2 linked regions of the Arabidopsis thaliana genome follow. The protein of the gene in region 2 purifies or fractionates together with the protein of the main gene of each other region. This does not show direct contact. Each region holds a gene or a part of one and is shown on either strand. Other genes may lie near its edges.

Region 1 (5,554 bases), about 16 Mb from region 2:
CAAGACGGAAAGGTGAGTATACACATTGCTATTAGTTTAAAATGAAAAACAAGCTTCTTGAGATTAGAAAGCCGATTTTTTTTTTTTTTGGTTGAGCTTTTAAAGATTCTTATTGAGGTTGATCATCTCCAAGATGTGCCAAGTCCATACATACAGATCAAAGGCGCTAACAAAGAAGCAGTGACGGCTGCTGGTTCAGCTCTCAAACTAGATGGTTCATACACAACAAAGGTTCCACTTCTTTTTCGAGACAACTTTAGTTCGAACATCGTTTACCTATTATATACATAAGTCAATATTTTTTCCGTTTTGTGTTTTCTTGAATGAAGAGTTACCTTCAAATAGTGTTGGAAAGACTGCCACCGGTCCAGAGAAGTTCAAGTGGAATACATACACAGCAAGCAGCGCGGTTGCAAGAGCTTGTGGAATTCATACAATCGCAGGTAATCAAAAGTCTCCTCAATCCTCTTTATCTCATTCTAGGTTTATTGTCTCTAAAATGGTTCTTCTATGCCTTTTTGACGACTTTAAGGGAAGTAGTAACAGTGTGTCGGAATCATCACCAAGAAGAGATGGTTCTTCCATAGACAACGTTTTAGAAGATATGCAATCAAGAATTAAACGACTCGAACGTTGGCACACCATCAATACGGTATCATATCAACATCATTGTGCTTTAAAAAAACTAATCACATTATGTTTATATCAATGATTAAAAGTAACCAATATGGTGAAATCAGGTACTATGGACATTTTTGATGTCTGCGCTCGTTGGTTACTCTCTCTACCAAAGGAAGCGTCAATAATTAAAATCTTTTCTCTGGTAATCTTCATTTCTTAGTTTTACCAAATAATCTAATCGCAGAAAAGAAAAAAGGTTACTAACCTGTGGGAATATTCAATATATAGTCTCCAGACATTGTAACTATCATTGTTTTAATATGAAAAAAGCTGCAATGAAAGTTGAAACCATATGTTTATTTTCTGTTCTTTAAGATTGATGAAGTGTTGAAAGAGTCTTACTGATCCATCATATGATAATAGTTTTCTAGTTTACTATGTCTACAAAAAAAAAAAGAGGAAACAAATTGTAACTTTTGCTGTTTTAGTGTTAGTTTACATGTTTTATTGATATAAAGCAAGCAAGTTTCTGGTAGATGTCAAACATAAAAAGCTAACTCAAAGCGTAATCGTATGATATGTTGGTTACAAGCCATTCCGCTGTATCGTCCTGTGTGGTCACTTAAAGGCCTTTCTAAGGTATGATACCCTTTGCCTTCATATAATAGTATGCAACCACGTATAGCAACACTATCAATAAAACCAGTAGCCACCACCTTACTCCAGCTGCAATTGCATCATCGAAAAACCACATTTTAGTTTAGTTTTCTATTGGAAACCCTTTTGTTAAAATGGAGAAGCAAGAGGGGAAACCATAAATATATACGTACGTTTGTCCCCCTTTTGTTCAATCATGGTCAGCCTTGCCCTTGAGTCAAAAGATACCGACACTAATCCCCTGCAAAACCAAACCCAAATTCAATCTATCTGCTTGTTTGGAACCATTCAATGATTTCATTTTCTTTGCTTCAGAATTTGTATATGTCTATTTGCTTGTTTGGAACCATTGAATCAATAGTTCTAGAGTAAATACTTGAGCCCCAATGAGTAGAGAAAAACCTTGAATCAGGAGAGAAAGTCAGTGCTGTGACCAAACCAAGATGCGCTTTCTTGACGACTTGGATAGTTTGCATTCTTGTCGATTCAAGTATTAAAACATCTCCTTCAAGGGTTCCTCTGCATTAAGAATATATTATGACTACCAAAAACAGTATCATCCTTATCTGTTGGTCCCAAAAGTGAGAAGACAGATACACTTACATTGCAAGAAGCTTCCCATCAGCTGAGACATTAAAAGCTGATATAGAGTTCTTTTTTATAGGCTTCGACCATTTTCTTTTCCATAATTTTGTATCACATGTTATAATACTCCCACCACGTTCTACGCAAAAAAATCAATCCTCAATCGTTAGCAGTGACAAGAAGGAAGGATTTATAGTTCAATATTCTTGTAATGTCAGAATATAAGTTTACCAGTGTTTGCAGCAATGTAAAGAACTTCATTGCCTGCACTGTCTACAGAGAATCTACAGGAGGCAAACATCTCGTCCTTCATTCAATATTCAAACTCATCAGATCCAATACAATAATGTTGGAAGTGTGTATGTAAAGTTGAAAAGACACTAAGAGCCAATTCCAACTGACCTTCTCTTTTGATAGACTGGCAACAGCAGCAGAAGCATTCACGTCCCAAACTCGACAAACTGGACCGCCAAGAGATACAAGAAATTGACCACTTTCGCTGCAGACGAAAATTATCATTATCAGGATATCTGTTTACAATCACTGTTCAAAGATGATTCCTTTGTCATCCAAGAGAATGAACCACTTTTCGGATAGCAAGTATTTCCCTTATTTGATAAGAGAAAGCAAACCTGAAAGTAAGGCATTTAACTGAAGAATGAGCCTGGGACTCATTAAGTAAAGTATTCATGCTAGGCCATTTAAAAACCCTCAAAGTCCCATCCTATACTGCATCAAAACAAAATGCATAAGAACCACTAAACGTTTTATGTCTCTGTTATTAAAAAGAGATTGCATCAAAGATCCTTTTTTTACCTCCGCACCAGCAGCAAGAACAGACCCCTCCGGATTAAACGCCAGAGCCAACTGTTGTCCAACATCTCTTAACTCTTTAATCACTTCCTCCGACTCACCAGCCTGATTATCCTCTCGGCTCATAATGTCTTCCCAATGAAACAGTCTGTGTATCAAGAGAACATCACTTATTACCACATCTCTTGTAAATTTCTCTCTACTCCAAACCATAAACTCACAGAACTTCTCTCTAAAATCTCATGCACTACGACTTTGTATACAGAAACTTCAAGATCATATGCTTTCATTTGAAATCGAATTGAGAATTACTCACTTGCAACTGTTAGGCAACGCGCAAATAAGACCACCTTCCCGAGGATGAACAGCCATCCGATAAGGCAGATCAGAGCCAACCACAAGCCTACCCAGCTGAAAATAAGTATCCGATCTAGTTATAGGAAATACAAAACCTTGCAAATGCATAAGATCTGCTCCTATACACTCATATAAGAACAGAATATAAAACCTTTCCTACTTACAGGTTGTTCCGAGAGAGAATTGGTGTTTAGATCAACACGGCATATTAATATGACATTAGAGATTCCACTTCGTCCCTCTCCGCCTCCGCCGGACAAAACGATGCAGCTCCGGGAAGAAGAAGAAGAAGAAGACGACTCATCATCATCTTCAGATTTCTCCGGATCCATTATGATTTTGGATCTGACATCTACCTCCGGAATCCAGTCGGCGGCGTAAATCGGTACACCGTAAGTCTGCATATTCGACGGTTGATTCGTCTCTGTACTCTGATTCGCCATCCTCCGTGTCTGTCTCTCGAGCTCAATGCCAAGTCCCCACTGATTCGTAAAAATACTAAATACAAAAAAAAATATTAATGGGCTAACTTAAGGCCCATTACAGTATTTATAGGCCCATCATAATATTTCATTTATCGCTGAATTCCGGTAAAGTGATAGCGGTTGGACCCGGTTCACGGGATAGAGACGGGAAAGAGTACGGCGGTACGGAGGTCAAACTCGGCGAGAAAGAGTACGTATACCGGATCCTTTAATTTTTATAATATTTTCATTTATCACCCCAATACTATTGATTTGATCTAAAAACACCCTATAGTTGTGTAAAATTCTTAAATCGATGTGTTGGTGATTTTTGACGTAGGTATCATCTGTTTCGGGACGAGGACATCCTTGGTACATTGCACGAGTAAAATGCAAAGGAAGTCTCTGAGTCAGCTAGTGGGTTTCTTGGTGGAATAATAATTTTTCAGTGACTCGTTTCGATACATGTTGTTGAAATTTGAAAGTTTTGTTATTTCTCATCATTTTGTTCCTCCTTAAATTTGGCCCTTTTATAACTGTCTTTATCTTATGTCTAATCGTTTTCTGTGATTTATATCTTTGTATTTAGTGTGCTACTTATATAAGTTAAAACTCTACACGAATAAAACTCAAGTAGTGAGATTTCGAAGATCAAATAGTTTGTAAACTACGACGAAAATTACAAAAATTGCAACTTGCAAGTGTCACTAACTATAAATCACGACATTCTTCCCTTTCGAAAAATCTTCATTTCTCGACAAAAAATTTAGGTTTCCAATGATGACCACAAAAAGTGGAAAAAAACGATTCTCGTTTCTGAAACGTTTCGCTTCCGCGTTTTCATTACTGTTTCTATGCTAGAGAGTATTAGTGCCTTGTTGTCATGGTCATATATCTCAATTGAAAATCTCCTAAAACTATATATAAAATGACATATAGTATTTTACTAAATTTAGGAATCTTTTCATTTATATAGTAAAAAAATAAAATAGTGTCGCTGTTGCCAACCACTCTCTATCCATCTCAGTTTGCACATGCAACACAACCACATGCTAATTGCTAGTGAAACTCTCATACTGTTTAATTAACTCCCTAAATATTTATCAAACAAATGATATCTACGTTTTTTAAAAAAAAAACATATCTTTAGATTATAGAGTTATACAATAATTTCCACATACATAAGCTTCCACGTATCCAAATTTAAATAAATATTTTTTGTGTATAAAATGTAATCCAAAGATGGAGATCTAAATCTACTAATTAACTCACAAGTCAACATTTAAATATGCTTAGAAAAATAATTGTTTTCGATCTATGAAATTATGTGGCTGCATTATAGTATTAACAAGCAATCATGCTTAGAAAATTATAATATTGTTATCAATACAATTACACCCTAATTCCTTACCAAAAATACGTGCCGTTTCAAGATTAGCTAAATAGAGCATGGAATCAACATTGCTTGTCGTGTTGGCTTTCTCTTCGGAGTTGTTAATTTTTAATTTAATATTTTTACTATTTTCATCACATTATTGAATACGAATAATAATTGTATTAAACAATCATTATTGGAATAAGACTTAGATGATAAAGATATTCTAATCATTTATAAAATACGTAGATGTTGACTTTTTTTTTTTGGCAACTATTTGAAATATATTTGTTTCCAACGATTATTATTTTATAAAAAATAATCATAAAATTTGTGACCTGCAATATGACATTAATAGTTAAAAAAAATTTCGTCAAAAGGAATAATTCACAATTTTAAATAGATAAAAATTGTAACCAGAAGATATACCATCATATATATTTACAAATTGTATTATTATCTATTCATAATACAAAACATGACAAAAGAAATTGGTTGAGTTCTTGTCGGGTATTTTCCATATCTCACACAAATAAATCAAAAATTGAAAAAGATTACAAGACACAAACAATCCAAAAAATTAAGTATCAAAAGGCAAATTTTTTATTTTTATCTTTAGTTTCTCGTAGTGCAAATATTAAAGCGGTTAATTTGATACGTAAAATTCGTGTTCAACCGCAAC
Region 2 (8,592 bases):
GAACTTTTGTAGTATTCATTTACCAAAACACTTCCCAAATCTATGAACAGTAATAAACAAAAGTCAACCACAACAAAACAAAGAATCCTTCGTTATAGTAACAGACATGCTACTCCTCTATATGAAATCATGGATAAGTACCTTAACGGAGCCACAAAGCTCCGGCACAGATTTGAGATGAGCAGAGACACTCGCAGCGATGTTCCGAGAAATTCCGACGAACTGAAGCTCGTCGCTCTTATCGTATACAGCGTATACACCGGAAGCGGACGGGATTGAATCAGCCTCTGTGATTGGAAGCAGCTCCGTCTCCGTTAGAGATTTGACGGCGGAGGCGATAAAGAAGGAACGACGACGAGACGGAGCTGTGTCACGGAGTGTGAAGGAGAGAGATGGGAAGGAGAAGGATGGTGTGAAGCGTGAATAGAGGGTGATCACAGGGGTATTTCGAGAAACATGTGGACGAACAACACGCGGAGAGGCTGAGGCGTGCAAGGAGGAAGAAATGGTGATTGCAGCCATTTTTGTCGGAGCTGAGAAAAGTTATCGGTGGAAAATGATGAGCTCTTTTATTTGACATAGGATTTTATCCATTGGGCCTGAATTGGACTGTTATTAAGGCCTTATGATACTTGGGTTTTAAATACCATAATTCGGAAAAGTGGGACCCGCTTTAGTTTCTTTTTTCTTACACATTCCATACTTCAGTCTGTTATGAAACAAAAGGAACATTTGTCTAGTTCACTTCATGATCAAGCCAAATCTACCAATGTGACCCAAAAACATGTGTTTAATCCGGTAAACAGATCTCAGTATGGTTTAAAACAGAACCAAAACAAACAAACAAAATTGGATTTCGAACATAATGCTATTTCTGATTAAAAATTGAATCTGAATCCAAGTTAAAACAGTATGTAATCCAAAAACTGAAATCCATTATATTAAAACCGGTTCTCAACTGGTCTCTTTGTATCTCATTATCTAAAAAGCTTTATAAAACAATAAGATTTTGGCACAGCCTAATCGCTTTCTCAGGGCACAGAGCCACTCATATTATTACCCTATCTACTAGGTTCCTGCTTTCGTATACTTCTCAAAATGCTCTCTTTGTTCCCCTGCAATCTGAAATTCAATCATTGACATCATAAGAAAATGTTGTAACAGAAGTGATAAGATCATTGAGTTGTTACATACATGTTGGATTCTTACGTCTTGCCATTTCTGATTGTGGTTTTTATGGAACAACTTCATCAGAGATAACAGCCTTGCCCAGATAAACCTGTTGCATCTCCTCTTTCCAGATCTGCATCAACTTCATATTTTTAATTTGTTTTCCTACAAAGAGAAATTAACTTGTGTGAAGAATAAATATATTTCATTCCATACCGTGTCACGGAACTCCACCCTTATGTGTGGCACGTTTGTTTTGTGAATGTCGTTTCCATCAGGTCCTCTTTTGTAGTAATCTTTTCCAATCCAGTGCGACTGGAACATCTCAACAAGTTAGTATTATTAGTAGATCGGAACAGAGACATCTTGTTCATTCATACTATGGGCCATGTTGATATAACAAGTACCTTCAGGGCGTGTGAGAAACCTGACTGGTACACTGAGTTACGAGCTATCTCGCACAGGTCACACGCACTCAGCTTCCAAACCTGAAAAATCCAGTTATCATCTTCAGTTAATACATAAATATAACTAAAACCTAGAAGAAAAGGATGTATAGAGAGAAATTTCATTGTTCTTCGTGTTTGCAATTGCAGAAGATCAGTATAAATCATTTAAAGGTAATAACTAATAAGACTTTTAAAAATATAATCAACTTTTCAAGGCCTATGATGTGTGGCAAGACTGCATAATGGAAAGATTATGACTTACTGATGCAGCTATGCTATACTCTTCCACGAGAGGTTCTTTAGTTAAGTGAATCTGAAGGGGGTCATCAGTAGACAGAGAAACATTGAGACCTCTTAAGAAAAACACAGGAAACGGGTTCCGGTGGTAATCTAGAAACAAAGAGTTGTTGCTCAGTGGTGACATGGCCAGACCAATCTGTCAAAAGAAATGTCTTCTTAGAACAGAAACAATAATACATATGTAATACATGCAGGCAGTCTCCACAAACCTGGGCGAGGTAGTACAGATACTGAAGCACAGGAGACTTTCGCAGATTGATTCCATGTGCGATGCTATGGCATGTTAGAAACGTAGCAGCCAAGTGGTCAATGTCACCAGCCTGAAATTTGTAGACATGTTAAAATTCCACTGAACTGTAACTGAAAACTGTTTATCTAGCACAAAGGAAGAAATAACACACCTCTCCAGAATGTGGTCGTAGCGTGATAGTAGTCATGCCCTTTGACTCTCGAAGCTGAAGAAAAATAGTTACTCCATATTACACAGTTTTGAGAACACCAAGTTAGTTACAGAAGCGACTAAGAGGAATGGTACCTTATTTAACACATAGAGGTTAGCATAACAATAGTAGACATAATACGAAAATGCAGGATTGAATGCGTTAGTCCATTGAGCTGGAGTGGGCATGTGTTTTGTGGGACGTCTTTCAGGTTTGCTTTCATCATCAACCAAATCAAATCCAACAACCTGAAATAGCAAACAAGAGACAGCAACCAGTCAAACCAACTCTTTATTGTGTAAAGACATGCGGATTAGAGGTTATTTGAAGATATGAATGCTAACCTGCTTCAAAAAAACATGGAGCTGAGGATGGGAATCAGGATCTACCGTGGCTTCAAACAGAGGAATGAATATATTGTCCAGGATATTCTGGAACGATGTCACAATACCCATGTCCTTGTAAATGTTGTACAAGCGTGGGAGCTAGTGAGCAGACAAACAGAAAACAAGGAAAATATAGCTCAGTTAGCAGTCATGTTACAAACACACGGAGACAAAAAAAACACATACACTCATGGAAGGACATGGAGCACACAAGTATCAAAGAGATGGCTAACCTGAATTAACCAGACAACATTCTCACTGTATAGATCATTGTTCACAATCCAACTAGCGAGTTGGTCCCACTCGCTCATTTTTCTGCCATATATAGATATTCTGTATTCAGCCATCTGCAGTGTTCAACGTAGACATCAGGAAAAACAAAACAGAGCAATTATGGATCTGCTTTGGCAAGAAGATTTCTTGACACAGAATTTGAGCAATGCCATGATGTTTTTTGGAACTCAAGTCAATGCGCATATGTGAGGGAGTGTGAGTTTGATATGGTTACTGAGACTAAAATCCAAGGATTTTACTACTATATCTTTTCCTAATATAACAAATGAGTTAAAGTTTAATGCAGCTATAAAGCATATGCAACAAGAAATAGCAAGCTTTGCATTTGTAAGGGGGAATAGGAGGAGATCCATTACCAAATCCTAAGTCTCTATGTATTCCCAGTAAATCATTATATCAAAAGCTTAGTTAGAATGGATTTGATTCTAACAGTGTTCCTCTCTTATAATGTTCGTTCTAAATGCATAAGACCACTGCAGTTGATCAAGAATAAAAATAACAAAGATGCATGTGGCGTTTACCTGATATTTACTAGCTTCAAGGTCAGAGAAGACTTGCTTTGTTATCTCACCAAGAAATCGACCTTAAACCAAACGAAAATAAATGTCAGGCAACTGAGAGTGCATAACTGATGCATCAAATGAACTAAAAACGGTAATAAGAGTGACTGGAGTATTCAATTACCTTGGATGAGATTATCCTGTTTAAGGAAAATCTCCCTAAGCCTACTTTGACCACAAGGGTTATACTTTAGGTTGAACTTATCAAAACGATGAAAGGTACTTTTGTCTGCATGAACATCCAAAAGGTCGACGTTCAGGTCATATCTGTGCAATGTTCAAACAAAGGGAAAAAGGTTAATTTCTTCGGTGTCATGGTAAAAATGGTAAAAAATGCAATACAGGCAATCTGCGGTGCGCAACAACTAGGAGGCTCCTAAGAGGGTAATCTAATAGTCTTGCAGCCATCAGATTCAGATAGAGTTAAGTTGGGAATTCTAAGAAGTTGGAAATGTAATTACCCAGTCAGATCCAGGCTCTCAAAAACTTCTCTCAAGGTCAAATATGTTCCATCTCGGAATATTACAACCTGTATAAAGGAGCAAGAAATTATCATATCTGCATATCAGCAAATTGTATACTATCCTAAAACATATAGTTTGCCATTGTTACCTCATCGGGTTCTTTCCGGAGCTTTGACTTAATAAACCTTAAAAGGTGTTTCTGGTTCATGCAAGCTGAATGATGCACATGAGTGTCGACTTTCCTAACGTTATAAAAATCACGATGTGGTGCACTTTTTTGAGCAAGAAATTCTTTATCCGCATTAAGCATCAAATGGAGATTAAATTTCTGAAACAAAAAATAGACATACTGTTAACAAGACGAAACTTGCTTATTGACATTCATTCTTCTCTAAATAAAACTCTTGCCTGTTCTAGGAGCACTAGTCGACGGTGGCACAAAGTCCGGATGTTTCCTGCAGCTATGACTTTGAGTACGTGATGCAAGTCAGTGAAAAACGCTGTGGCATCAGCTACCGGGAAGAGATCTTCTTTTGCTGGGAATTATGAAACAGAAGAAGGGTCAGTTATTCGAAAAGCAAAAGAATGCAACCAAATCAACTATTATGAGTAAAGGAAAAAGAAGCATTAGAATTTTAATACTAGGACTCTTACCATCTTTATTTGCAAACACGTGGACAACCCCATCTTGCATCTCAAAACAATGCTGTAAAAACAAAGATTGGGAAGTTTAATTCATCAATGCATGGTGTTTGATGACATATATAAGGAGTATAGACTCACATCAGATTTTCCCTGAGGATAGTGTGCAAATGGCTCTGTATTAGGCTTTGGAGTACTAGGATCAGATATGACTTCTTTTTCCCATGGTGCAACTGTTTCTTGGAAGACATACCTCTTCCGCAGTTCAAGACATTCTTGCAGACATTTATAGGCTTCAACTTCATCGGACGTTGGCACCTCTAAACAGATCATGAGTAAAATATGAATAAGATATGTGTTGACGTCTTAACCGTTTCAAGCTATAATTCTTAAACTATAATCTAAGAATTTCAATGGCTCAGCTCCCACACTGAGTAAAGCCTTAACTGACCCTTGCTTCTCTTACTCAAGACTACTTATTTAATTGTCCGTAACTCCACTTAATTACTTGCCACTAGCAAAAAACTTTTCAAGTAGTGGGACTTATAAAACAAACATGTCATGATTTGTAACAATAGGAAAAGAGTACTAAGCATACAGGAACCAGAAGTAAGGCAAGATGACAGAACGAAACAAAAAGTGACCATTCTTACCAAGAGGAACATTAAGACGGACAAAGGTCTCTTGCTCTGGCTCCTTACGAAGAATGTCAGCAGCAATAGGATCAGGCTGAACTCCATGTAAGTCACCAGACACACTATGGGATCGAATCATACTTGAAGCAGCCATAGATATTTGTTCTTCATTAGCATCTGCAGGCTGCAAAAAACATCTTACTTGTAAACCCACCTATTCAATCACAGAACAGGGATTGAAAAAGTAATGATAAATAAAGAAACTCACCATCTCATTGTCACCATTAGCTTGCAAGTAGGAAGCATCTAAACCCTCACTATTAGTCAAATTATCATCATCATCTGATTCTTCCACACTCTCAAAAGCACTAGCACTAGCAACAGGGGATTTCGGAGATATTGGTCTAACAAAGCTTCCAGTTTTCCTGATACTACTAGCTCCATGTACAGAAGCTCTCCCTGAAAAAAAGCAATCACAAACTATCTATCAGCATCATCAAAGGATTAAAGGATCAATTTTTATAATCCACAATCTAATCTGATCAATTCAGGTTTGGTTCTCATACCTTCAGATGGCGTATGAAGCCTAGGGAGACCAGGAGGAATTTCATCGACATAAACGTGACCGTTGCTCCGTCCTGTATCACCGCCGCCGCCGCCGCCACCATCGGTAAAAGGAGTGGCATCTGGAAGAGAAGCAGGACTGCGACCATATTGGTCATTAACCTTCCTTCTAACTTGGCTCCGCCGCCTCACCAAGGTCGGATTTTGAGGCTCGTCTCCATCAGGGTTCTCTTTACGCTCCTTACCACGCTCAAGGACTAGATTCAGTGCCTTGAAATGCATGAAAAACCCAGAAACAGCAACGAAGGAAGCTCCGAATAGAGCCGCGAGGGCAAGTTGGTAAATATTGGGTTCCATGAGTGACACAATCAAAATCTCTGTGTGTGTGCTCAGGTCAGAACTCAGAAGAGAGAGTAAGACCACGATTTCGTTTTAGTGGCGATGGTGGGAGGTCGAGGTTGAGTTGTTATTTATAGGCCCAACGAGTGAAACCACGCCACTTGCAAAAAGGCTGGGTCTTTGATAAAAGTTGAAACCTTTATGGCTAAAAACTAAAAGTGCTGATAATTATAGGGGCAGAGTTTTATAGACAAATAATTTCTTCATTAGTGTTCAATTATTTCAGACACCAATTTTTGTTTTTATCTGTCCAATTTTTTTATTTTATTTTATGTTTGCTTTTATACGTGAAAGTGAAAACTCTTCATATTTTTTAGTTTGTTCAAATAAAAAATCATTTTCATAAATATTGTACAAAATATAAAACGGAAGAAAGTTCTTCATTAAACATTAACACATCAAAATCCCTAAGAAATAAGGGAATTAAGGTTAACACTATCATTTTAAGAAAACTAGGTGTTGGGCCTTTGGCACTAAATATCAAGAGAACTATGGGTCTAATGTTAGCTCGAGTCCAGATTACATGGTCTCAGTCTCATGCTTTTCTTTTTTATTTGTGGCCCAAGGAAAAAGTGATTAAGGAAATTACTTATTAGCCAAATGACTTGAGGAAATTACTTTAACTGAATTTAAAATGGTTACAAGGTACATTTGTTCACGAACTCTATGTTTTCATTTCAACAAAATCACAAATGGTTGTTAACTCCAAATACACACCAAAAAATATGAAAAGTGAAGTTTTACCACCTATACAGAACACAAATAACTCATTCACATCTCTAATGTCATAAGGAAATCAATACACAAAAAATAAATAAGAAAAAGAAGAAGAAAAATCATAGAACAATGGTGACACCTCTAGCACCATGAACATAAGAAGGATGAGCAGCTTCTTGATCTCTCTCAAACTGTTGCACATGCCTTGTAGCATCAAACTTCTCTCCATCTCCCCAAAGAGCATAAGCTTCTTCCCCATGTGCTGCGTCGTCTCCAATCCCGAGCTCTTCCTCAGCCATTCTCAATGGTATGAACACCCTAATAGCGAGTAGAATGATAGTAGTCGACACCACATTCCAGACGGCAATGAAGGCAGCTCCAGCCAACTGTTTCAAAAGCTGTTTGCCGCCATTGCCACCGTAGAAAGCTCCTCTGGTCGCTGGGAGAGGAAGTACCAAAACGCAGAGATCAGGGTGTGCAAACAACCCTGTCATTATTCCACCAAGTAAACCAGCCACGGCGTGTGTGTAAAACACCGCTAATGTATCATCCACCTGTTTATTTCAACCCAATCAAAATATTACAGTTCAAATCATTCGTTTGTTATTACTAATACCTTAATTCTACAATTGAAACATTTTCGTTTTTCTAATAAGGTAAAACATTTTTTTTTTTTTTTTGTTGGTTATGAAATTAAAATGGGATTTATGATCTAAATTACCTTTTGAAGGAGAGCGGATTTCTTGTGAATGATCATCATAGAGGCCCATGGAGCTGTTCCTGAGACTACTCCAATTATTATAGCTGCCCATGTTTGGATCAAACCTGCAATAGATATCTTATTTGTCAGTATAATAAATTAACAATGCAATATTAATAAGTTTCCACATAATTCAACCTTAATCATAAATAAACTTAGAGACTTAGAGTAAACAAAAAACTTGAAAAGAAGATGACTGAAACCTGCTCCGGGAGTGACGCCGGCTAAGCCAGTAACCATGCCTTGAATTGCTCCGATGACAGAAGGTTTGCCAAAGAAGATGACATCAAGTGTAGTCCATACAAGGAGGCTTGTGGCGGCCGAGAGGTTGGTGTTTAACACGGCGATAGAGGAGGTTAAGTTGGCCGCGTAAGGAGCACCACCGTTAAAACCGGACCATCCCATCCATAAAAGTCCAGCTCCAGCAAGCATTAGAAGAACATTGTTCGGTGGGAATCTCTCTCTGTCAGCCTTAGGCCTTGGTCCTACCTATAATAACATCATGTCAGAAAATCGTATTTCTCAACTAGCTAGTGTTTGCTTTTTAACTAACCATTTAATTTCATTTTCTTTTGCATGATTTTATATATTTACTATGTGGAATATTATGTCGTCGTCAGTGGAATTGACTTGACTTTTACCATTTTGCTTATGTGCGACAAAATGCAGAATACAAGAAAAACAAATTAATTAGTGTATACATATCTATAAGATATAAAATGCAAAAATGGAATCAACCTCAATTATTTTGTGAATTTACTATTAGGCAAAAATAGATATTTCAGTTGAGTGTGATCAATATTGGAGCGTTA

What was found. Proteins that work in one complex are often made in the same cells at the same time.
Region 1: the proteins of FAC1 (region 2) and STL2P fractionate together in Arabidopsis thaliana (co-fractionation; one study listed by BioGRID). This does not show direct contact.

Annotation. Positions count from the first base shown.
Region 1 is NC_003071.7:210,960-216,513, forward strand, and holds STL2P (SEC12P-like 2 protein), read right to left. Parts: upstream 3,515-5,554; 5' UTR 3,477-3,514; coding exon 3,198-3,476; intron 3,088-3,197; coding exon 2,993-3,087; intron 2,825-2,992; coding exon 2,680-2,824; intron 2,588-2,679; coding exon 2,496-2,587; intron 2,363-2,495; coding exon 2,266-2,362; intron 2,171-2,265; coding exon 2,095-2,170; intron 2,003-2,094; coding exon 1,882-2,002; intron 1,798-1,881; coding exon 1,681-1,797; intron 1,520-1,680; coding exon 1,452-1,519; intron 1,348-1,451; coding exon 1,256-1,347; 3' UTR 954-1,255; downstream 1-953. Other genes in the region: AT2G01460 (P-loop containing nucleoside triphosphate hydrolases superfamily protein), read left to right, coding at 1-16, 134-231, 330-443, 533-652, 741-806. UniProt on the Arabidopsis thaliana protein: Required for the formation or budding of transport vesicles from the ER.
Region 2 is NC_003071.7:16,032,533-16,041,124, forward strand, and holds FAC1 (AMP deaminase, putative / myoadenylate deaminase), read right to left. Parts: upstream 6,441-8,592; 5' UTR 6,262-6,440; coding exon 5,907-6,261; intron 5,800-5,906; coding exon 5,609-5,799; intron 5,525-5,608; coding exon 5,359-5,524; intron 5,026-5,358; coding exon 4,847-5,025; intron 4,770-4,846; coding exon 4,718-4,769; intron 4,600-4,717; coding exon 4,472-4,599; intron 4,392-4,471; coding exon 4,212-4,391; intron 4,129-4,211; coding exon 4,061-4,128; intron 3,867-4,060; coding exon 3,724-3,866; intron 3,623-3,723; coding exon 3,561-3,622; intron 3,093-3,560; coding exon 2,979-3,092; intron 2,845-2,978; coding exon 2,704-2,844; intron 2,608-2,703; coding exon 2,455-2,607; intron 2,375-2,454; coding exon 2,321-2,374; intron 2,240-2,320; coding exon 2,129-2,239; intron 2,056-2,128; coding exon 1,882-2,055; intron 1,659-1,881; coding exon 1,578-1,658; intron 1,486-1,577; coding exon 1,387-1,485; intron 1,304-1,386; coding exon 1,235-1,303; 3' UTR 1,195-1,234; and 3 more. Other genes in the region: CXIP2 (CAX-interacting protein 2), read right to left, coding at 142-522; AMT2 (ammonium transporter 2), read right to left, coding at 7,140-7,574, 7,742-7,845, 7,984-8,269. UniProt on the Arabidopsis thaliana protein: AMP deaminase plays a critical role in energy metabolism. Essential for the transition from zygote to embryo.